Linked DNA regions of Canis lupus familiaris. The protein of the gene in region 6 binds, or shares a complex with, the protein of the main gene of each other region. Links are inferred from orthologs where the notes say so. Each region holds a gene or a part of one and is shown on either strand. Other genes may lie near its edges.

What was found.
Region 1: GAS8 (region 6) and DRC3 share a complex: the UniProt entries of both Homo sapiens proteins name them as parts of the nexin-dynein regulatory complex. The link is inferred for Canis lupus familiaris from reciprocal best matches to the Homo sapiens genes DRC4 and DRC3.
Region 2: GAS8 (region 6) and FBXL13 share a complex: the UniProt entries of both Homo sapiens proteins name them as parts of the nexin-dynein regulatory complex. The link is inferred for Canis lupus familiaris from reciprocal best matches to the Homo sapiens genes DRC4 and FBXL13.
Region 3: GAS8 (region 6) and CCDC153 share a complex: the UniProt entries of both Homo sapiens proteins name them as parts of the nexin-dynein regulatory complex. The link is inferred for Canis lupus familiaris from reciprocal best matches to the Homo sapiens genes DRC4 and DRC12.
Region 4: GAS8 (region 6) and DRC1 share a complex: the UniProt entries of both Homo sapiens proteins name them as parts of the nexin-dynein regulatory complex. The link is inferred for Canis lupus familiaris from reciprocal best matches to the Homo sapiens genes DRC4 and DRC1.
Region 5: GAS8 (region 6) and TCTE1 share a complex: the UniProt entries of both Homo sapiens proteins name them as parts of the nexin-dynein regulatory complex. The link is inferred for Canis lupus familiaris from reciprocal best matches to the Homo sapiens genes DRC4 and DRC5.
Region 7: GAS8 (region 6) and IQCG share a complex: the UniProt entries of both Homo sapiens proteins name them as parts of the nexin-dynein regulatory complex. The link is inferred for Canis lupus familiaris from reciprocal best matches to the Homo sapiens genes DRC4 and DRC9.

Annotation. Positions count from the first base shown.
Region 1 is NC_049226.1:41,717,046-41,720,545, forward strand, and holds part of DRC3 (dynein regulatory complex subunit 3), read right to left. Parts: intron 3,088-3,500; coding exon 2,964-3,087; intron 1-2,963. UniProt on the Homo sapiens protein: Component of the nexin-dynein regulatory complex (N-DRC) a key regulator of ciliary/flagellar motility which maintains the alignment and integrity of the distal axoneme and regulates microtubule sliding in motile axonemes.
Region 2 is NC_049239.1:17,297,696-17,301,972, forward strand, and holds the start of FBXL13 (dynein regulatory complex subunit 6), read left to right. Parts: upstream 1-1,477; 5' UTR 1,478-1,530; coding exon 1,531-1,605; intron 1,606-4,277. Other genes in the region: ARMC10 (armadillo repeat-containing protein 10), read right to left, coding at 887-1,025. UniProt on the Homo sapiens protein: Substrate-recognition component of the SCF (SKP1-CUL1-F-box protein)-type E3 ubiquitin ligase complex.
Region 3 is NC_049226.1:14,710,436-14,712,809, forward strand, and holds the end of CCDC153 (coiled-coil domain-containing protein 153), read left to right. Parts: exon of another isoform or gene 1-1,007; intron 1,008-1,020; coding exon 1,021-1,151; intron 1,152-1,450; coding exon 1,451-1,579; 3' UTR 1,580-1,874; downstream 1,875-2,374. UniProt on the Homo sapiens protein: Component of the nexin-dynein regulatory complex (N-DRC), a key regulator of ciliary/flagellar motility which maintains the alignment and integrity of the distal axoneme and regulates microtubule sliding in motile axonemes.
Region 4 is NC_049238.1:20,544,276-20,548,217, reverse strand, and holds the start of DRC1 (dynein regulatory complex protein 1), read right to left. Parts: upstream 2,801-3,942; 5' UTR 2,703-2,800; coding exon 2,548-2,702; intron 1-2,547. UniProt on the Homo sapiens protein: Component of the nexin-dynein regulatory complex (N-DRC) a key regulator of ciliary/flagellar motility which maintains the alignment and integrity of the distal axoneme and regulates microtubule sliding in motile axonemes.
Region 5 is NC_049233.1:12,884,119-12,887,618, reverse strand, and holds part of TCTE1 (dynein regulatory complex subunit 5), read left to right. Parts: intron 1-958; coding exon 959-1,527; intron 1,528-3,500. UniProt on the Homo sapiens protein: Component of the nexin-dynein regulatory complex (N-DRC) a key regulator of ciliary/flagellar motility which maintains the alignment and integrity of the distal axoneme and regulates microtubule sliding in motile axonemes.
Region 6 is NC_049226.1:64,079,848-64,082,155, reverse strand, and holds the end of GAS8 (dynein regulatory complex subunit 4), read left to right. Parts: intron 1-184; coding exon 185-334; 3' UTR 335-781; coding exon of another isoform or gene 782-871; 3' UTR 872-1,338; coding exon of another isoform or gene 1,339-1,474; 3' UTR 1,475-1,808; downstream 1,809-2,308. Other genes in the region: cadherin-1-like, read right to left, coding at 782-871, 1,339-1,474. UniProt on the Homo sapiens protein: Component of the nexin-dynein regulatory complex (N-DRC), a key regulator of ciliary/flagellar motility which maintains the alignment and integrity of the distal axoneme and regulates microtubule sliding in motile axonemes.
Region 7 is NC_049254.1:29,443,724-29,447,223, reverse strand, and holds part of IQCG (dynein regulatory complex protein 9), read right to left. Parts: intron 2,131-3,500; 5' UTR 2,070-2,130; coding exon 2,062-2,069; intron 716-2,061; coding exon 442-715; intron 1-441. UniProt on the Homo sapiens protein: Component of the nexin-dynein regulatory complex (N-DRC), a key regulator of ciliary/flagellar motility which maintains the alignment and integrity of the distal axoneme and regulates microtubule sliding in motile axonemes.

The DNA.
Region 1 (3,500 bases), about 22 Mb from region 6:
AGGAGGCCCTCAGTAAATGCTAGTTATTTGTTGTTGTTACTACTTTTACAATCAGGGCATCCCCCACTCTGCCCCGCCCCAAGAACAATATCCTGCTTTGTTGCTTCAGTGTAAGGAGAACTTAGGGCGCCTGGGTGGTTTGGTCAGTTAAGTGTCCGACTCTTGATCTCAGCCTGTCTTTTTTTTTTTTAAGATTTTATTTATTTATGAGAGACACAGAGAGAGGCAGAGACATAGGCAGAGGGAGAAGCAGGTTCCCTGCAGGGAACCTGATGCGGGACTTGATCCCAGGACCCTGAAATCATGACCTGAGCCGAAGGGAGGTGCTCAACCACTGAGCCACCCAGGCATCCCTCAGCTCAGGTCTTGATCTGAGTTGGGGGTTCAAGCCCTGCATTGGGCTCCATGCTGGACATGGAGCCTACTTAATAACTAAGGAGACCTACACCACAGTATTAAGGTTCTGGTGATGTCTCTCCATGCAACTGCAGGCATTTCCCAAAGGCCAAAGCTCTCCCTGGCCTGCAGAGGGCAGGGCGTACAGTGGCTTTGCTGGCCGCCCTCATGAGGCCTCGAGGGTAGCACTCAACACCAGTCCTGCCAGAAAGCCCAAGGCAGAGCCCCATTATCTTAGTGCCTGGGGCCATGAGCCAACCCAGAATGCCGGCAAACGCCAGCTTATCGTCTACAATGAGGGGCACAGGCTCGGCATCTCTCAGGCTGGAGTCTCAATTCAGACTCTGGTCCTCTCAAATGGTGTCATCTTGGGCAGTTTAACAGACTTCTCTGAGACAAAGTCTTACCCTATTTTCTCATCTGTAAATTGTGAATGATAACAGTACCACCTTTGTAGGGCCCTTTGGGGGAGATAATATGTGAGCATCAGGCTTCATTGCCTTGACAATGGCAAGCCTGCAGGGAGTGGAGCTCCATGTTTCTAGCCACTGTGGTCAGCCTCAACCCAGTCAGTGGGTACTGAACCTTCCTGAAGCTACAGAAACAGGTGTCAGATGGTGCCAGGCATTGTCATCCTGGCAGGAGAGAGGGCTCGCCACCGGAAGCACCAGTCCAGCCTGCTTGCCTGCCAGAGTTTCGGGGTCCATATTTTTCTGTGTCCCGGTTATTAGGGAGGGGTGTTTTAATCCTGTGCCCACTAAGTGTCACAGACCTGGAAACTGTGCCATGAGGGAGCTCCATGACTCCTCGATGGTCCATCTGGGGTCTAACAGAGTGGGCTCTTGGGGGACATCTGATTTCAGGGCTCAGGGGGAGTGACCGCTCCTTGTGTCTGGTTAGTAAGAGCATTTGACAGGTGTTTAGGGAGGGAGGGCTGGCAACACAGTGGCCCTGCCAACAAGCTGCTGCCCTGGGTGCCTGTCTCAGCCCCCAGACAGGACTGCTGGTCTCTGTCTGCCAGACTTAGCCAGAACCTGACAAGTGGGGCTTCATGAACTCCTGGCACTTGGGTTGCCCTGTGGCTGTACCGTGCACCACTGCTGGCACCGGCGAGGTACATGGTGGTGAAGAGGCCATCTCGGCCTTCCCCATGAGCCTGGATTTAGTGTGAAGAGTCATAGAGCAAATCAACACACACATGATAGCTTGTAATTTTAATAATGCCCTGACAACGATAAATGGTGTGTGTGATAGAGAGATGGTGGTTTCCCAGGAAAGTGATGAGGGAAGGCCTCTCCGAAGAGCTGCCATTTGGGCTGAGAGCCAAACAAGGAAGACCGAGACACCCGGAGACCAGAGGGAAGGGGACTGTCTGCTAGGTGGAATATCAAATGAAAGGAGCAAGCCTGGGAGCCTGGGGAAGGGCTCCGAGGCTGGGGCGAGGGGAAGAAGCCAGGCTCGAGGGTCTGGTGGACTACAGTAAAGTGAAGTGCTTAATCCAAGGGTCACAGGAGGCCATTACTGTGTGGTACAAAGTCACAGAAGGATGAGGTTTGGATCCCAAGGATCTCTGGCTGCTGCGTGGAGAACAGCCTATAGAAGGGATGTAAGGAGACAGTGGTCCAGGGAAAGGACAACATGGCTTGGTCTGGTGCTAACATGGAGGTGAGAGAAGCTGAGAAATGGGGAGTGGAATGAGTGATGAAGGAAGGAAGGCTCCCGACAAGTATCTGGCCTGTGCCCCTCCCTAGAGACATGACATACAACCCCACTGCACCCCCACTGGACCCTGATGCAGGAGACCCGGACAGCCTCCCCGGTGAGCAGCCTCAGGAGCTCGGCCCCTGCTGCTGTGGGACTACCCACCCCTGGATGGGCTGGTGGAAGGTGGGAAGCAATGGGCCAATCAAATGGTTCTCCCGCTGTTCCAACAACCTAGTAATGCTGCCTATCAGACATTCAGGAAGACCTGCCTGTGAAGTCTCAGAACTTAACCTGTGTTTGCAGCTGCCTCTCTCAGAGGCTGCCAGAAGCCCCACAGAAAGACTTTGGGGGTGGGGGCAAGCAGTTTAGCGCCGACTTTGGCCCAGGGCTTGATCCTGGAGACCGGGATCAAGTCCCACACTGGGCTCCCTGCATGGAGCCTGCTTCTCCCTCTGCCTGTGTCTCTGCCTCTGTGTGTGTGTGTGTGTGTGTGTGTGTGTGTGTCTCCTGAATAAATAAAATCTTAAAAAAAAAAAAAAGACTTTGGGGAACTAACCTGTTGGTAAGTTGAAACAACTCAATTATCATGAGCCCCTCTTTAGATGGGCCCCACTGAGTGCCCACCAGGTGTTAGCTTGTTGGCCTATTTCATCTGCCAAGCACTGTGCAAAGGAGGTCATTGTCCCTTTTGCAGGCGAGGAAACTGAGGCTCCAGGAAGCTTTCAGGCTTACTAGAGCCACGGGAGGTGGGGCCCGGGGACTTTGTTCTTCCATCTGTCTGTCCCTCAGCGGCCCGCCTTGCCCCCCCCAACCCTGCCCACCACCCGGCCCACTGGGGACCGAGCCCCGCCTACAGTGCTCACCGGGCGCAAGTCATCAGGCAGGTCCTCATCGACATCACCCTTCAGTATCTTCTCGAGAGTATTGATGGAGATCTCTAGGAGCTTCTCGTGGTGGTGGTTCTCCAGGTCCCGGCACTGAGCCATCGTGTGGCCAAGTTAAGCAAAGGCCAGGGGTGGAGTAGGTGCCCCTGCAGACCCTCCGAGGGCTGGGCCGCTGAAAGGCAGAAGGGTCCACCCGCAGGTGCCAGGGCTTCACCACCTTCACAGCCTGCCATCCACATACAGGAAGCCCCAGGACCACTCCGGTCCACCCCTCATGCACCAACACCACACTGCCCATGGCTGACCCTTGGTGCCCTGTCCCCTCAGAGCCCCTCAATCCTCCACATCTCTCCCTCCCACCGCCTCCTGACTGGACAGCGAACCGAGACCTGGTCTCCCAGCTCTAGCCCTTTCTCCCCACAGCAGCCAGTGTGCTCTTAAACACGTACCTAGACTGGACCTCATCCCTCCCATGCTCACCACTCTCCCGGGCTTCTGACTCTCTACTGTGGCCTA
Region 2 (4,277 bases), on a different chromosome or scaffold from region 6:
GGAGCGCAGACCCCTAAGTTTAGCCTTGGCGCCTGGCTCCACGTGGTAACCACCTGCTCATCATAAAGATCCCGAGAAGTCTTATTTTCCTCTGGATCAAGGCAATTAGCTAACAGCGATAGCCACCCCGATTACCAGCGAATTTAGGATGGACTCTGTGTGAATGGTGCTGTCAAGCCCTCTTGAGGACAAGTTCCTGTTTATCTTCAGAACATGCAGAGATGACACGAAACAGACTTTATCCGCCAGATACACGAAGTGAAGACACGTGTGTCTTCTCAATCCCATCAGCTGATCGCCTGTGATGGGCACGGCAATCTGGAGTCGCGCTTATTCAACAATAAAGCTTTAGTTCTTTCCTCCATTTGTAGGGAGGAGTTTCTTGGTTGGCATCCGTGACCCGCACTATCCTAGAACACCCAGCAAATCCTCGGAATCCCGATGCACCACCGGCTTTGGGGCAGCAACCACCCCGGCGCTGGGTCGCGGGGGGTCGCGGGGGGGGCGCCCCCAGCTCCCCGCGCGGGCAGCTGCTTCCATCCGCGGCCCCGGGACCTCCGCAACCTCGTAACCGAACCGCAGGGAGTCCCCGGGCCTCCGCGCCGCGGCGGGGCCCCCGCCCTCCTTCCTCAGGGGCGGCCGCAGGCACCACCGCACCTTCCGCGGCGGGTCCTGACCCTGAGGGGCAACCCACGCGCTTCTGAGAAACCACCCAATCCTCCGCGGGGACGCCGCCCTCAGCCAGGAAAATCCGGGCGTTTTTACCCCGGGATTTTGGACGAGGTGGACGCAGGCGGCAGCTCAGAGCCCCAGCGAGGGGGCCGTCGTCCGTGCCCCCGCCCCCGCCCCCCGCCCCGGCCACCTGCCGGGCACCCCGTGGCCTCACCTGCCGAGCGCGAGGGGCGCAGCCGAAGCCCGCGGGCGCCTCGCCGCCGGCCCCGCGCCAGCTTGTAAATGTAGTAGCAGGCACCGGCCCCGAGGACCAGGCCCGCCGCCACCCAGCCCACGTCCCGGGCGCCGCCCATGCTGCCCTGGGGCCGGGGCGCTGCGCTGGGCCTGGCGCGCGAGGCGGGGAGCCGCGGATCCCGCCTCAGCCCGAGCGCCGGCGCCGGGAGGACACAGGAAATGGGGCCCGAGCCCCGCCTCCCGGAAACGGCCCTGCTGACACGGAGGGACCGCCCACTGCGCCCCGAGCGGCCCGGCGGGGCGGCAGGGGCGGAGCGGGGGCGGGGCCGGAGCGAGGGGGCGGAGCTAGGGCGGAGCTCCGCGAGGAGGCGCAGGGACCGCGCGCACCGAGGGGACTCACTGGGGGACGCGGTCCCCGTCCAGAGGTGGGCTTCCCCTCGCTCCCGCCCGGGCTCGGGCCCGCCTCCACGCCCGGCGGCTCTCCTCGGCTCCCGGCGGCTCCCGGCGGCTCGCGGCGGCGGGGGCGGGGGGCTCCGGGGCCGCGCCCGCCCCGCCCCGCGGTTGCCAGGGCAACGCCGGGACGCGCTAGCGGGCGCGGGGCGCGGAGTCTGGGGGGCCCCGGTCATGGCCTCGCTGCGCACCGCCGACTCCCGGCTGAGGAGCTACTTCAAGGAGAATTACATTCCTCAGGTGTGCGAGGTACTGGAGCCCGCGGCGGCGGCGGCGTTAGAGCAGCGGAGCCCGAAGACGTCCGGGAGGAGGGGCGGGGGTTGGGCCCGGCCGGGAGCCGGGGGCGGAGAGGGCAGGCGGCGCGGCGCCCGGGGCGGACCGGCTCGGAGGCCAGAGCACGGGGCGCGGGGCCCGGGACAGGAACCGCGAGCCCCGCACTTAAGGTCTGGGCAAGAGGCCCGGGGCCGCAGGAGGATGCGCAAGTGGTCGGGAGAGCGAGCGGGCAGCGGCGGGCCCCGGGGGAGGCGGAGCCTGGGGGCGCCAGGCGGCAGGCCCCGACCCCACAGCCCGACCCTGCCTGACCAGGGGCCCCTCCCCCCGTCGTTACAGCAGGAAGGACTGGAGAGGCCCGGCGGGTTTTGTAGGTTTGGGGATTAGGAAAGCAAGACCCGGTGACTGCCATTTTCTCGACAAAGATTTGGTGAGACGTATGCTAAGCCGTGCGTGTTTGCGCGGGTTTGGAGGCTGCAGAAGGGGTCTGAGCAGAGACACGTGTGTGGAGACTGAGGGGGAGAGAAGTCTGGGGAAAGAGACGAGGAGAGCCCGGCAGCCCTGAGAGCCCAGCTTGCGAAAGTGACTGCTGTGCACTTGGGAGGGCAGTTCGGTGCAGCCTTTTTGAATGGTTAATTTAAATTTATTAAATGTTGACTACATATAGCCTTTGACCAAACATTTCACTTCTAGGGATCCACTGGAGAGATAGGCTTTCACGTGTATCCAGAAAGCTGTCCGAGGATATTCATTATGGTGAAAATAGTAAATAACTTCTATATGAATAAGGGAATGAGATAGTATATAAAGTATGTGTATACCTTTTGAGAAGAAAAGCTCTCCAAGACATAGTTTAAAAGAAGAAGAAAAATGCAAGTTGCCCCAGAAGTGTCTCCTACAATGTAGCTACTGTGATTTCCTTTTTTTTCTTATTTTAAAGATTTTATTTATTTATTCACGAGAGACTCAGAGAGAGGCAGAGGGAGAAGCAGGCTCCATGCAGGGAGCCGGATGTGGGACTCGATCCTGGGACTCTAGGATCACGCCCTGGGCGGAAGGCAGGCACTAAACCGCTGAGCCACCCAGGGATCCCTACTGTGATTTCCTATGTCTGTGTGTAGCGACGTTTAAGACAATAATAATGCATGCATAGAACATATGCAAAACTATTAATAGCAAATGTTTGGGGGGAATGCTTTTAGGAGAGAACCCTAATTTTCTTTGCTGTGTATACTTGTGTATTGTTTTACTTTTTTTCTGCTGAGTCTCATTCATGTTTTACTTCTACACGATTATATTTCAAAATATGTAGAGAGCATGGCACTCATCTTCCCCAGGGTGTAGTTTTTCTTTCTTTTCTTCTTCTTTTTTTTTTTTTTTTAAGATTTTATTTATTTATTCATGACAGACACACACACACACACAGAGGCAGAGACACAGGCAGAGGGAGAAGCAGGCTCCATGCAGGGAGCCCAACGTGGGACTCAATCCCAGGTCTCCAGGATCATACCTCAGGCTGAAGGTGGCACTAAACCGCTGGGCCATCAGAGCTGCCCTGGTTTTCCTTAAGTAGCAGTCAGTAAACCCAATAGAGGTACAGAAATAAGATTGACTTCATCCAGGAGAGGTGTTGGCCAGGCATATAGTGTGGAGGGGCAGCGGGGAAGGAGCTAAGCTTTTTAGGGTACCTGAGTGATGGGCCAAGGGACTGGGTATGAGGTGAGAATGGGACCGGATATGATACATGGGTAGAAAGTGGAGGTTCCTAAGGAGTAAAGAGGATTAGCAGGAGTAACTGAGTGTGGGAGCTGGAAAAATAGGAGGGTAGGGGTCCGAAAGTGGAATATTTGGGTTTAAGATTTAGATCACTCAGAATAGCTGCGATGACCCTGTCTTGGTTGGCTGTGAGATACATAGCAGAAAGTGGGCTCGAGCTGAGGGTCCGGGAGCATCAGAGAAGTGATAGCCTTTCCTCACCTTGCTCTCCACTTCCCATAAGCTGGTAGAGGCATCCCTGGTTCCTCCTTTGGGTGAGAGCACCCTAGCCCACCAGCCTACCACATTGCTTTGCTCCCAGAGAAGGGGAGCCCTCAGAAGTGCCCTTCACTGAAGGCGATATTCTCATGAGCCCTTCCGTCACTTCTGACCACGTTACCAGCGGGGCAAGAGAGCAGGCTTCTGGGAGCCCCGCTCCCTCCTTAGCCTGGTTACCCACTTCCCCTAAAGGACTATCAGGATGAACCCGTTGAGCCTCATATCCCTACACAGCTACTCATCTGACCCGATTCAACAGGACTAGCAATCCTCTAAAACCCATCTTCGGCAAGCTTTGGAATACATACATTTTTTTTTTTTTTTTTTTAAATCAGGACTTCCCTGCATATTTAACCTCGTCTGAATTTCGCCCGCCTATCCTGAATAAAACCTGGATGTCATTTCCCTGCAAACCCCTGCATAGAGGCTGATTTAAAGAAAACAAACAAACCACAAAACACAACCCTGCTTGACTTATTGGGTTACTGATTCTATTGATTGATATTTTCCATCAGTTTTAGAAAATTTTTGATCATTTTCAAATAATGCTTCTACCCAATTCTCCTTTCTCTTTCTGGGACTGCAATCGTAATTATGTTAGTTTTTCCCCACCCCCT
Region 3 (2,374 bases), about 49 Mb from region 6:
TTAAAGATTTTATTTATTTATTCATGCATGAGAGACACAGAGAGAGGGGGGCAGTCACTATATGGGGAGCCTGATGTGGAACTCAATCCCGGGACTCCAGGATCACACCCTGGGCCAAAGGTAGATGCTCAACTGCTGAGCCACCCAGGCGTCTCAAAACATATTCCCTCTTAGCTGATGTTTACAATGCAAACTAAGAAAAGATATTTGACTTATTTATTTTCATATCCTCAATGCCTTGGGCATGCCAAGCCCTACATAATTACTTGCTAAATCAAAGAATAAACCTTTTAGAGAAGCAAAAATGTAAAGGACAGGAAGTTTTTCCTTTCTCTCTTGGTTACAGGATAAAGTTGAACTATCTTAGCACGACACATAAGATCTTTCACAATTGTGACCTCAGAGTTTCCTTAACCTAAAATAGCCTCAGTTTCTTTCTTTCTTTCTTTCTTTTTACTAGGCGCCACACCCAATATGGGGCTCAAACTCATGACCCTGAGACCAAGAGTCAGCCAGGGGCCCCTAAAATAGCCTCAGCTTAGCTACAGATACCCAAGAGTTGCTTATCTGCCATGCGGACCCTGAATTCCTTTCATAATCCTTGCCTTATTTCAAATTTAAATTCGATCAGCATTTATGGAGCACCTCCTGTACATACTAGGTATTTTTCCCCATACACTCTCACATTTAACTCACAATAAGTCTGTAAGGTTTGTATCAATCTCTCTTTAAAGATGAAGAAACTGAGTCTCAGAGAGAGATGTACCCAAAGTTACACAGGTAGTAAGTGACAACCAGACTTTGGACGCACATTTCTCATCCCAAGCCTACTGCTCTCTCTGCTGTACCTCAATGGTATATGTCAGATCTTTATACGAACTATGGGAAAATTGATGATCCTGGGGGGGGGAGTCTGGAATGATCCCATTCAAGTTCTGCTTTTGAGGTGTCTTTGGAGACTCTGTTCACAAGTAGAATGTCACTACCCAGTCCCCTTCCTCCTCCCGCCCTGCCCTGCAGAGACGTGCCAGAGGGAAGCTGAGGCTGCGCAGCAAGAGGCTGAACGGGCCCTCGGAGAGCGGGACCAGACTCTGGCTCAGCTTCGGGCCCATGTAGTGGACATGGAGGCCAAGTACGAGGAAATCTTACATGTAAGCACCACCACCTCTGGAAGCCCTACCACCCCAGTAGCTAGGACTCCCCCATTCCCCTGAACCCCAACTAGTTCATACTATCATTGTCATCAATGGGAGACCAGGGGGGAGGAGAAGCATCTCCACAGAGAACCCTGCTCTGCCCCGAGGGCAGACAGCCAAGGCACGCAACCACACTTACTTAGTAAGAGTAAGAACCTGAAGAAGATGCTAGGAGGAAAGCTCGCAGACCAGCCCAGGGAAACCCTTGCTCTACCCTCTCTCCCTTCCTGGAGCCTGAAGCTTGGTGTCCACAGGGCAACCTGGACCAACTCTTAGCCAAGCTGAGAGCAGTCAGGCCTCAGTGGGATGGGGCTGTGCTGAGACTTCACGCCAAGTACAAGGAGCAGCTCCACCAATTTGGACTCAACCCCCTGGATCTCTAAAGCTGTAAGCTTCGGGGCAGCCCGGGTGGCTCAGCGGTTTAGTGCCGCCTTCAGCCCAGGGCCTGATCCTGGAAACCCGGGATCAAGTCCCATGTCAGGCTCCCTGCATGGAGCCTGCTTCTCCCTCTGCCTGTGTCTCCGCCTCTCTCTGTCTCTCTCTCTCCCTGTGTCTCTCATGAATAAATAAATAAAACATTAAAAAAATAAAATAATAAAATAAAATAAAGCTGTAAGCTTCTAGTCTCTGGGCCTCTGAGAGGCTCCAGCAATAAAGCTGTCTTGATGTAGAACTCCACAGAACTGTGGTCTGTGCCTTTTTGACAGATACAAATATCTCTTTGAGGGCATGTTGGTTCTGGCGGACCCATTACTCTGAAGATTGAATGAGAGGATAGAAATTTGACATTTGACAAACTCTCAACTCCTCTCTTAGAGAAACTGGGCCCCATGCCTTGAATCTTGGGCCCTTTGGGTCCTTTCAAATCACCATCCCCTACTCCCACTACCCACACCCCTCCCCGGCACCAACACAGGTAGCCAGATTTGTGGGGGCAAGGCCATTTCTTTAATAGACCAGCAGTGACCAGGCACCAGCCCCCACAATCCTAAGGTGCTGACAGAGAGAAGGTGTAACTGGTCTCCAAACTCTTGCAATATATGGGGGGAGTCCAGGAGTCATGCCTAAGGCAAGTTCCAGATGGCTTCAATCCTAGCCAATCCCATAGCCCACCTATAAAGGGAACACTGTGTTGCTCTTCTATTTTACAACATTCCCAATACTACTTTACTTCTGGT
Region 4 (3,942 bases), on a different chromosome or scaffold from region 6:
CAAATGCCTAATGGACATCTTGGTTTTAAAGTCTTCCAAAATCCAATTTCACTGAATATGTCCAAAGCCAAACTCTTGATTTCCAAATCCTCCTGACTCACTTCCCCCATCACCATCTTTATCATTTCAATGCAAGGCACTACCATCTACTCAGCTGTTCAAGCCATTCTTGCTTTTTCCCTGTCTTTGACTAGCATATCTAAAATCAGTAAATCCAGTCAGTTTAAGCTGTAAAGCATTTCTTGACTACATCTGCTTTCTCTCCAAACCCACCAGACCAACTTCATCCCTCACAGAACCAATGCAACTGCTTCCTAACTGTCCTCTTCAATTATACTTCTGGCTTCTGCAAACCAATCCCTCAGACAGCAATCAGAGTGATCTTAACATACTTAGAAATTTGAGAAATTCCCACATTAAGTTGTTGGTGAGTGGGTAAGAGTTATCATGGGAGGGAAGGCCAAGTGGACATCTTTAAAACTGTACCTGAATACATAAAAACAATCACAAAGTGGGGGCTAGGGAGTGGGGATGGTGGAAATTAGTATCACCCTTAAGGATCTCAAGGATACAGGAGTGGTGGTCCCCCCCCCCCCCCATCATGTTTCCATTTAGTTCACGGGTCTGGTCCCTGCAAAAACTGGTTGCATCTGAGAATATGATTATCAATACTGCAAGCTCAACCAAGTAGTAGGCCTCATTGCTGTTGCCATGTAAATGTGGTATCTTTGCTGGAGCAGTGTAGAGTGGTCTTATGTACATACAAGGTGGCTGCTGATTGGGTCAAATGTATTATTTTCTACCTAAATCAGGAAAAAGAATCAGAAGTTCACATTTACATGGAACAGACAATAATATATACACATATAATTCTCACACTCACAGCGTCATGTTGATTCTCCTGATCTCTGTCAAAACATAGACTGAATAAATCAGGACCATTTGGATACCCCAGAGAACATCACGTTGATCCACTACATCAAGATTGACCTGAGAGCTAGATATGACCCATCTGTTTTTGTAGGGCTCATAAGAAAAGAATGATTTTTACACTTTTTAATGATTAAAAAAAAAAAAGGAACAGATCAATAGGAAGAGCACAAAGGATTTTTAAGGCAATGAAACTATTCCATATGATACTATAATGGTGGACACATATCACTATATATTTGTCAAAATCCATAGAACACCAAGAGTGAATCATAATGTAAACTATGAACTTAGGGTGATGATGTGTCAATGGAGTTTCATCATTTGTTTTGTTTTGTTTTTTTTTTAAGATTTTATTTATTTATTCATGGGAGACAGAGGGAGAGAGGCAGAGACACAGGCAGAGGGAGAAGCAGGCTCCATGCAGGGAGCCCGACGGGAGACTCAATCCCGGGTCTCCAGGATCATGCCCCGGGTCGAAGTCAGTGCCAAACTGCTGAGCCACCCAGGCTGCCCGAGTTTCATCATTTGTAACAAATGTACCATTCTGGAGGATGTTGATAGTGGGACAGGCTGTGTATGCATGGGGGCAGGTGGTATATGGGAAATCTCTGTACTTTCCACTCAATTTCGCTGTGAATCTAAAATTTCTCTTAAAAAATGAATTCAGAAAAGAAGATCAAAATCTGAAGAAAATTTTGTGACACATGAACATTATATGACATTCAAATTTCAACGTCTTTAAGTGAAGTTTTTTTTTTTTTTAATTTACTTATGATAGTCACACACAGAGAGAGAGAGGCTCAGAGACATAGGCAGAGGGAGAAGCAGGCTCCATGCACCGGGAGCCCGACGTGGGATTCGATCTCGGGTCTCCAAGATCACACCCTGGGCCAAAGGCAGGCGCTAAACCACTGTGCCACCCAGGGATCCCTTAAAGTGAAGTTTTATTGGAACACAGCCATACCACTCTGTGATCTAATGGCCAGCAAACAAGAAGTCACCATCTTGGTAGGATAGGTGACCCTGGCTAGCAGGACAGGGTACAAGTGCTCTTACACAGTGAGGGTGTTCAGGAATTCAGAAGATCATGCAGGTGCCTCTTAGAATCCTCTTGTGACAGCCCACTGTGCCTATGAGTAGACAGGTGCAACAACCCTGTCCTGAGAAGGGTATGATTATCAGGCACAGACCCTTCAGGAATGAGGGTTTGTGTCATACAACCAGATAAGCTACTGAGACCAGCAGAAGTGACAGCTGAGGTCCACTCCAGAAATGCTTGTGGAAGGCAGGCAGGTGGGGATGGGAAGGAGGAAAGAAAGACCTCTGAGAGGAGGTCACGGATGGCCTGTGTCTGCAGTCCATTGCTCGCAGTGCATGGCACAGCAGGCTTTCAATAAATTTTTAAAAACTTCCTGCTGCAGAGACTATTATTTCCGTCTTTGACTCCACAAGTGTATTGAATGTGTTCATATCCCATACTTTGGTTGAACCTTCCGGAAGAAGTTTTTCCTAGCTCACCGCCTATCTTTGCGCTCACACGTGGGCCCCGCCCGCCCCGGGAAGGCGCCCGCCTGGTCCCCGCCTCCGCTGCCGACCGCCCGGACCCCCGCTCACCGCCTCCGGGCTTCCAGTCGCGCCGCGATGCGGAGGCGCCGGGCCTGGATCCGCTCCTGAGGGTTGTCAGAGTATATGGACGGCCCGAGAATCGGGGTGGACAAGTCTTCCTCCTCCTTCTCCTCCAGAACCCCCAGAGATCCCGGCGGATTCATGGCAGGTGCCTCCCGCCCCAGGCCCGCGGCGCCTGGACCACCGCCGGACCACGGCCCCGTTGCTAGCAACAAGTCGTCGCCAGGGAAAAGCAGGCACCTGACCCGCAGCTGGAGCGCGCGCGAACAGCTCCCAGGCCACGCCCACCTGAGGCTGCACGCCCCCCTGGGTTCTGTATTCTTCTCCCGGAGAGAGAACGGGACTTAGGCTCTACCTTAGTGGGGTGAAAATTACATCAGTTTCGTTCAGCACTGTACAAATAGCGCCGAGCATAATGCCTAATATGTAGTAAGTGCTCAACTAGTGTTTGCTGAAAGAAGTGTACACAGATGTATATGTATGCTCGCTGTAGTTATTTATAATGTTAAAACACTAGTGTGACCCTGAAATCCATCAATAGGGAACTGATAGGAACGCCTGGGTGGCTCCGTGGTTGAGCATGCCTTTGGCTCAGATCGTGATCCCGCGGTCCTGGGATCCAACCCCACATCAGGTTCCTCGCAGAGAGCCTGCTTCTCCCTCTGCCTGTGTTTCTGCCTCTCTTCTGTGTCTCTCATGAATAAATAAAATCTTTTTTAAAAAAATGGGATTGATAAAGCTTTCACGGGATGGATAACAATGTAGCTACTAAGAATGGGTCTGACCTACAAAGACCTAAAGATGTATGAAATGAGGAAGAAAGGATGTAACACAAATGTGTAGAATGTGATCCAAGTTCTATTTGAAATATATCTAGTACATATGGTCAAAAAATGAGCACAAAGTAAGGCCAAAGAAGTTACTGCCTGTGTTCTCTTCTAGGAGCTTTATGGTTTCAGATCTCATATTTAGAGAGATGTTCCCCAACATCGTTTGAAAAGACTTTTTTCTCATTGATATTCTTTCCCGCTTTGTTGAAGATTGACCATATAGTTGTGTGAGTTCATTTCTGGATTTTCTATCCTGTTCCACTGACCTATGTGTCTGTTTTTGTGCCAGTACCATACTGTTTTGATCAGCTTTTAATTATAACTTGTAAGTCTGGAATTGTGATGCCTCCAGTTTTGCTTTTCCTTTGCAAGGTGGCTTTGGCTATTTGGGGTCTTTTGTAGTTCCATACAAATTTTAGGATTGTTCTAGTTCTGGAAAAATGCTGTTGGTATTTTGAAAGGGATAGCAATAAATGTGTAGATTGCTGTGGGTAATACAGACATTTAATTATTTGTTCTTTCAACCCATGAGCATGTAATGTCTTTCCATTTC
Region 5 (3,500 bases), on a different chromosome or scaffold from region 6:
TGGGGACTGCCTGCCCAGAGGCAAAACCTCAAAGGCTGGGTCTTGGGGCAGCCCCTGCCCTCCTGCACTGGGTCCTCATCCCCAGTAAACACTGCCCTTACCCTTTGGAACCAGAATGGTTTCTCCCACTGTCTCTACTTCCAGGGTCCACCAGATTCCCATCCACACTGTGCACTGCCTGTCTATGCCCTCTCCTCATCTTTCCCACTCTCTCCAGCAAAACCCAGCCCAAATCATATTTACCAAACACCTCCTCCAGAAAGCCCTCCCTGGTTGACCATCCTCCACTCTCTTGGAGCCTTCCACAGTGCACATAGGTTCTTGGTTTGTTCTGTACTTTGTGCTCTGTAAATGGTTATCCTTTTCAAAGATGAGTTCCCAGCCTCTCCTACTGGTTGGGGCTGTGAGGACAGGATCATCATTTATCTGTAGCACGTACCACCACCTGACCTACAGTATATTCTCCTGACTTATTTACTGTCTGCCTCCTCTCCTAAGAAGGAGTGGCTTCCACCGTCTTCCTCACTCTTGCTTGTACCCTCAGCACTTAGTGTCTTGGAGCACAGTAGATGTTCAAATATATTTGTTCTGTTTTGTTTTGAAATTAATGAATCAAATCATTTGGGAATCTCTGGGCTCAGGATTATCTCCTACATCAGACTAAGTAATACCTGAGGGCTAGACCTGAGATTCTTGTTCAGACTGGGAGCTCCCTGGAACCAGACAGGAAGATGTCCACCTTCAGGCAGGGAACATCCCAATGCCAGGGGCTACGTCTCTATCCTCAGACTAAGCATCCCTGATAGTAAAGGCTGCCCGCCCCCTCTCAGGCTGGGGCTCCCTGAGGGCCGCGGAAGGTCTTCCATTTGCTTGGGTGCCCCCAGGCAGGACCAGCCCAGGGTACCACGTTGTGGTATCCCCACCACTGTGACTCCTGCTTTCCCTCCTGTTCTCAAAGACAACCCTATCCTGAAGCAGCTGCTTCCAGAGCACCAGCAGAAGGTCCTGAACCACTTGTCACCCGACCTGCCGCTGACCGTGACCGCCAACCTGATCGACGACGAGAACTACTGGCGCCGTTGCTGCATGCAGCGCTGGCCCGTGTGCCACGTGGCCAGGCACGGAGGCAGCTGGAAGCGCCTGTTCTTCGAGCGGCACCTGGAAAACCTGATAAAGCACTTCATCCCGAGCACCACAGACCCCGCGGTGATCCTCGACCTGCTGCCATTCTGCAGGAACTACGTGCGCAGGCTCCGCGTGGATCAGTTCCTTCCGCCCGTGCAGCTCCCACTCCAGCCGTGGAACGGGGAGCTGTCCGACTCGGGCAGCGAGGCCGAGATGGAGCAGCCCACCGGGGACCACTACCAACTGCGGGACCTGGTAGCTGGCCTGAGCCACCTGGAGGAGCTGGACCTGGTGTATGGGGTCAAGGACTGCGGCATGAACTTCGAGTGGAACCTCTTCCTCTTCACCTATCAGGACTGCCACTCCCTGGCGGCCACCATCAAGGCATGCCACACCCTCAAGGTACCAGGCGGCCGGGCCTTCCTCTATGTCCCATTCTCCCCTCCTCTTCCTGCTCTTCCTCCTCCTCCTCCATCCCCATCATCTCCCATTTCCTTCTCATTCACTGACCAAGTGAATGCACCCTGCACCAAGCTGGATTCTGGGGATGCAGAGTCGAACAAGGCACTGCTCTCCCAGTTCTCAAGCCACTTACTCATCCAAGGAACATCTGCACTCTGGGCCCTATCCTTGGTGCTGAAGATTCAACAATGAGCAAAATTAATACCATTTGTGGCCTCTGGAGCTAGCAGTCTGGTGGGATAAAAGGCACTCATCAGCAATCATGTAAATGTAAAATTACAACTAGGCTAGGAATGCTAGATTTAGCAAATAAAAATACAAGACATCCAGTTAAATTTGAAACTCAAATACTCGACAGATAATTTTTCAGTAAAGTATGTCCCACGTATTCTGATTGGAAGAGGGAAAGCCTGCCAAAAAGTCAGAGAAAGAGGAAACGGGGGAGACATGGCCTCAAGTCACAGAGCGGAGGGACGGGTGAATCTCAAGAAAAGGAGCAAGCAGCAATGGAGTGGGGTGATGCTGAGGACCAAATTTAGCAAACTCAGAGGTCACAGAGCCGGAACTGTCAGTGGAGTGCCAGGAACAGGGGCCAGATTGGAGTGGTTTATGGAGAGAGTGGGAAGTGAGGAAACAGGATGGCTGTGATCAGCTTATTCAAGAACTTGGCTGTGAAGGGTATGAAGGGGAAATCAGTAATATGAAGGGTTTAGGTTTTCTTAAAAAGATATTTGCATGGGTTTAAAACCAGTATAAAGTTCCACTGGACAGCAACAAAGCGATGAGTCCAGGAGAAAGGCATAGGTTCATTTACCAAGGAAGGTTCTTGAGAAGGCAGGGAGGGTAGAATTGAGAACTGAGGTGGGGCAGTTGGCTCTGGGCAGAGGAGAGAGGATGTGGTGGGTAGCAGTGGGCTCGTGTTTGGTATTAGGAAAATGAAGGGTTCCCATTCAATGGCCAGGGAGGCAGGAGGAAACTGAAGTGCTGAAAGGAGGCTGTAGGGTGGCTCCCTGAAGTTTGAGAAGGCTGGAGAAGGTTGAAATCATTGTTATAGAGTAAGAGAGAATATGTTGTCCAGAGAAACAGGGCTAAATTGGCACACAGCATTGAGGGTCTGAGGGTGGTTCCAGAGATACCAACCAGAACTGTCATGTGACATTTTCCGTTACATCAATTGCTTGGGCACAGATAGGCAGAAAACAGAGTGGGGTTGATCCATGGTTGGAGCTTTGCCAGATAGGTACAATGAAATGATAAGAGACACAAGAGGCTCTAAGCTGGCTAAGGGAGACATAAAGAAAGCAGGGGAATGAAGAATGGGAAGAGGGTGGAGAGGCCCCGTGGAAGAGGGAGGAGTGGAAGGAGCTGGTTAGAAGGAGAGGGTTAGGACTCCCATCTCCAGGATTCCCCATGCTAGTCCTACCCCATTCTTTTGTCTTTTCTCTCCATCCTTCCATTCCCCATCTCTCATCCTGCTTCTTTCCCTGGCCTCTCCATCCAAGAGTTCCTCTCCTGGCCATCAAACAGGAGTTGGGGCATCAAATAGACCTGGATTTGAACCTACCTCTGGGACTTGATCACTGTGACTGTGTGACCCTGAGCAAATGACCTGTCCACCCTCAGCCTTCATTTTCTATCTGCAAAGTAGAAAGAACTCATTCTACCTGCCTGGGGGTTAGAGAGTCAGAGATAATTGTTATGATAACACTCTAGCAGCATGCCTACCGCATAGTAATTTGTCAATAAATGGTAGGCTTTCCTTCTACTGCCTGCCACCAGTTCCGCACTGCTCTGCCACGCGGGGAAGCCCTGCCCTGGCCAGGGCCAGTTGGATGGCCAACACCAGATAAGCAGAACCTCGGGCCTCCCTGTGGCCTGCTCCTCTACCTGCAGAAGGTAGCTGGGCAGGCAGG
Region 6 (2,308 bases):
ACCTGAGTTCATGTATGTAAAAGTGCTTATGACCAGGTGTGGCCTCACATGAGGCACTGGTAAAGGTTAGCTTTATGGTTTCCCAGCACCACCCTCCCATGTCCTCCAGAGCTGAGTGGGCCTGGGCTGGAGTCAGCCTTGGCCTGGCCCTGCGCCCTGCCCTGATGTCGCTCTGATCCTATAGGCCCACAATGACCTGCTGCGCACCTATGAGGCGAAGCTCCTGGCCTTTGGGATCCCTCTGGACAACGTGGGCTTCAAGCCTCTGGAGACGGCTGTGATTGGGCAGACCCTGGGCCAGGGCCCTGCGGGACTTGTGGGCACACCAACGTAGAGCTCGACTGGGACTGCTCCCTGGATGACTTCCCTTTCACCAAGGACAGGAGCTGTTTGTTTTTTAGATTTGTATCATCTGCAAATGAAGGTTTTCTATGTTTGCTTTGTGTCCCATTGCCTGGCTCTGTGGAGGAGAGGCACCTCCTGGGCCCATGGTGCCCTGACCACTTCCTTCCCTGCTGCCTGTCCAGTCTCTGCAAACCCCTGCCCTCCTTCCCACCTCGGGGCCAGGGCAGCACTAGCAGAGGCCAGGCATCGAAGCGGCTTTACAGATGCCAGCACTGACTTTATTGATGCCTGAGATTCAGCTGCTACTGGAGATGGGGGAACCAGAGTCTCCCACAGGGACTGTGACCTGGTGCCCTCTGCGTGGGTGCCTCAGTGAGCCATGGGGATGGAACTGATGCTCACAGGCCAGCAGTTAGCCAGAGGCGATGGCTAGCCACTAGCTCCCTCGATACGTGGTGTAGGACCATGGGCTCAGCAGCAGAGGCACGTGGAACCTGTGTGTCTCGTTGGCGATGGTAAAAACAACCTGAGAAGCAGAGAAGGCACCAGAAGAGAGTGAGGGGCCTGCCTGTATGTAGTACACAAGCAGCCCAGACTGTGGGCAGGGGGTAGGAATTAATAAGCAGGGCAGGAGCCCCAAGGGCCAGCTGGAGCTGGGTGGAGCTGGAAACCTGGCCAGGGCTGTGGATGGGGCTGAACCCTGCCCAGAGAGCCCTCGGCTTAAGGAACCCAAAGGATCCACCCTGGATGGGGCCAGGTGACTGCCTCTGTCCACAGGGGCTGAGTCACTTTTGGCCCCGCCCCCCATCTCACCCAGGGATGGTTGTGTTGTGGTAAAGTCCCTGGACACCTTTCCTCTGGGAGCTCAAAGCAGGTGAACTCATCGTCTGCCACTGCCCTGGGAGAGGTGGGAGGGGTAGGACTAGCCTGACCACTGTAGGAACCTGGGTGAATCATGGGCCTCCACCCCTCTGGCCCACCCCTGGCCCTCACCTCCACATATGGGTAGAAGCTCTCCTGCCCTTTCTTCTTCCAGTAGCCCTCGGTGTCAAAGGACAGCTTGTAGGTGCCTGCCTTCATCGGGCCTGGAGGCAGGAGCCCTGGGCAGCGGCCATCTGAGTCGGTGTAGCTGGGGAGCGTTGAGGGATGGGGAGTGAGAAGTTGCCTCTGCCTGGCCCCACAGGATCTGCATGGCCAGTGGCCTCAGACCCCCCCACAGCCTGAGTCACTGGGAAAGCCCCCTAGCAGGACCATCTAGGGCCTGGGCTCCTGAAGCGTCTCAGGGATACCACTGCACTGACTTTTTAGACAGAACTCCCAATATACAGGAGTAGAAAACTAAAAAAAAAAAAAAAAAATCCCCCCCTATTTTATGAGCAACAATCCTTTTACATTGGCATATTTTTCCCAGATTTTCTCTATACATAACTGCTTATTTATAAAGTTAGGGAAATACTCTAAAATGGATTATTCTGTTCATACTATTTGATAATTTGTACTTTTCACTTAATCTATTGTGTGTGGCTTTCTGGATCAGTAACTGTACCCAAACCACCATCTGCACGGTGGCCTGTTTCCACTGCACCGAGTGTCTGCATGGAGGGCTCTGAGGGCCTGTCCCTTGGCTCACTGATCAGTCCCCGGTCACCTCTGGAGAGCTCTCTCACCAGCTGTACTTTCAAGGTTCTGTCCTGTGACTGGAAGGAGCAGCATGGACCCACACAGTGTATGGGGGTTAGGAACGGTCTCTACGACCCTCCAGAGCGGGCCACTCCCATGTGACCCAGAGGCCCAGCTTTTGTGAAGGATGGGGGGGCGGGGCGGATGAGTTCCATGTCCTCAGGCCCTGAACCTTTGTGGCCCAGCGGCCCATTCCCACCACTAGAGGGAGCCTGCCTCCTTCAAGAGGCTCACAGGCAAAAAAAAAAAAAGAGGCTCACAGGCAGCGCAAGCACCAGCAGGG
Region 7 (3,500 bases), on a different chromosome or scaffold from region 6:
GGATGTTCACAAAGGCAGGGTGCAATGTGTTCAACAATATAACAAAGTTATTTTAGAAGAAACGTTGAGAAGGTCCAACTGAATTTCCTCCCCTGAGGATTGAGTTAGCTTTCAGCAGCTAAGAATTACAAGATAGGTGGGGCAAGTCAGTAATTTGGCTACTCTCAGTGCATATACTGTATTTATCCTGATTTACTATAGGCCTTTTTGAATAATGCCAACATGTTGGAAGAAAAGGATATTCTGGTTGTCAATGTATCTTGAGCTATGGTTATTTCATTCCATCAATTCAGAGTATGTATCTCAAGTAATTATTATAGCCCTTTTTATCTGAGTTAAAGATGCTATTTCCCAAGTTAAATTTGATGGCGTAAGTACTGTAAATGATAGAGAAATAAAGAGGAAAGAAAGCAAGAACTAGATAATGACGAGTGTATATACCATGATGACACTTTGTTTTCTTTCATACTGAACTGGCATGATATAGTTTAGAATAGAGAGCTGGTCTGCAGTATCTTCCAGAACTGCAGAGATCCTCAGCACATCTAGAATGGAGAGTGGCTCTACGATTTCCGGGAGGACTTCTTTTTCTTTTTCTGTTTCTTCAGCTGTTTCTTTTTCTTCTTCTACAGCACTGGGTGGCTCGCCTGTCACTGACACTGTCACCTCAGAATGCCAGATGTTCGCTGGAAGATTTGAGGCTTCTAACTGGCCTCTAAAGAAAAAAATAAAAAATTAAGTCAGCCACCAAATGTTTAAAAATTGCTTCAACTAAAAAGCACGGGCATCATACAGATGGGCTCCTGTGAAGTCCACATTGTCAAATAACCAAGATAACGAACAAAAGAAGGAGTTTACATGTGGTTCTGCTAAATATCTTCCTGTGACATTCTGACTAACCAAAGGCAAGCCACTCCCTGCAGGGAGCCTGATGTGAGACTCCATCCGAAAACTCCAGGATCACGCCCTGAGCTTAAAGCAGGAGCTCAACGGCTGAGCCAGCCAGGCGTCCCTCCACTTACTGTTTAGTAACTCTGTGTTAACCTAACCATACTATTTGGCCATGCTTAGCCAATTTGAATTCGAGCCCAAATTACCTTTTTTTTCTAGCAACATCTTTAAATGCTAATCAAAAGTATCTCATGATTAATGAAAAACAGAATGTGGCAGGAGCACCTGGCTGGCTCAGTCAGTGTAGCATGTGACTCTTAACCTTGGGGTTGTGAGTTTGAGTCCCATGTCCGGCACAGAGTTTACTTAAAAAAAAGATAAAAACATCGACACCTGGATGGCTCAGTGGTTGTGCGTTTGCCTTCTGCTCAGGGTGTGATCCCGGAGTCCTGGGATCCAGTCAGTCCCGCGTCAGGCTCCCCGCAGGGAGCCTGCTTCTCCCTCTGCCTGTGTCTCTGCCTCTCTGTGTGTGTGTCTCATGAATAAATAAAATCTTTACAAACAAACAAAAACAGTATGTAGTAGTCAATCTCCAAAATGGATCCATATGATTCTCACCTTCTTGTAATCATACCCTTGTAGTCTCCCCGACATTAATAGGACTAACTACCCTATGTAACCAGGAAGATACTGTGGGTTCCACCGTTCGGTGATAAAAGACATTGCAGCTTCTCCCTTACTCTCCTTCTCGTATCTCCCACTCTGTAAAAAGCCAGCTGCTTTGTCATGAGGACACTTAAGCAGCTCTTTGGGGAAGTTTTTGAGGGTGTGGAACTAATGCCTCTTGCCAACAGCCAGTATCAACTCCCCAGCTTTGTAAATGAGCTATGTTGGAAGTGGATCTTCCAGCCCCAAATTTTCAGACGATTGAAGCCCTGGCCAACTTCAACCTTATGACAGACCCATAACCCAGAACCATCCAGCAAAGCTGTTCCCAAATTCCTGACCCACAGAAACCATGTGAAATAATAAAAGTTGATATTTTAAGTTACTAAGCTTTGGAGTACTTTGTTCCCAGCAATAGATAAATAAATTTAACATAAGGCACAATTCAAATAATAGATAAATAAACAAATACGTATACAAAATAAATTGGAATTTTGAACATACTCTTCCATTCTTCTTAAATTAGTTGTAACTTCAATGGTACATTTACAATTTCACAAAAAATGCAGTCACCTAAAATGGGAAGAAAACACAGATTAGTTTAAGAGAGGGTTGAATGACATTTAAATTATTTCCATACCCTTTCAAAAGAGCTTCAGCTTATCCTTTCTTTTTTGCTTATTAGAGCAGTGCCAGAGATGGAAGAAACTCTGGCATCATGTGATGCAGGACTATTAGGTAGTCAGCTTAATTATTGACAAATACAATTATTGATAAATGCATGTTTGAGTCTCATGGTAAATTAATATACAACATGGGTTTCGTATTTTTATTAAATTCTGATTTTTAACTGGCAATATCTATGTAATAGATTTACTTTTCCGTTATTCTGATTCTAAAATATTTAATTTGAGCATTCCATTTCACTGGTCTGCCAGACAGCAAAATTAATTGCATCTGGACTTAAAAGAACACTTGATGGGATCCCTGGGTGGCGCAGTGGTTTGGCGCCTGCCTTTTACCCAGGGCGCGATCCTGGAGACCCAGGATCGAATCCCACGTCGGGCTCCGGGTGCATGGAGCCTGCTTCTCCCTCTGCCTGTGTCTCAGCCTCTCTCCTCTCTCTGTGTGACTATCATAAATAAATAAAAATTAAAAAAAAAAAAGAACACTTGAGACTGTATTTAGAAAGGCTGTATTTTTTTTTTTTTGAAAGGCTGTATTTCTCCTGAAAATCACTGCGCTGTTACTACCAAGATGTTACCCCTCCATAAGCCAAAATTCTTTCTGCTTGAAAAAGCTTTATGATGACAATGCCATATGAAGAATTTTACTCTAGGCTAAATGAATAATAAATAGTTTCGTTTCCAGTATGGTTTTGTCCACAATAAGGTGATCCTAAGAAGGCTGATACAAACATGTCTCATACAACAGAAGTCTCTTATGTAAAAGTGAAAACATATAAACAGAATCTTTATGCAAACTGAAAAAAAAAAGATACTCCAAACTAGCCAAATTTTCTGGTACAACAGCAGTGTTAAGAGGAAGTATCATGGTATAAAGATTTTTGTTCTTTTGATGTGTTATTGTTGTTTCTCTATTTTCCCTATTTTTAGGCTTGGGGCATAGGTAAATGTGCTTCATGCAGGTAAGACAGGGCTATGCTAATGCAGTATCCAGCAAGTTCATGCTCTTCTGGTTTCCCATTTCTCAATGCTAGAAATCTAGGAGTATTCCTCCTTCATCTTGACCCCAGCATTTCCCAATCCAAACCATCACTAAGTCCTGTGGATTTTATCTTCTATTTCCATGTCCCCCAACACCATGCTGGACCTGACTGTTGTTTCTTGAACAACTGTAACAGCCCCCAAATTGGAGGTGATCTTTTTAAAATTGAAAATCATTTTTTTTTTAAACTAAAAATTTGATCCTGTCTTTCCTTA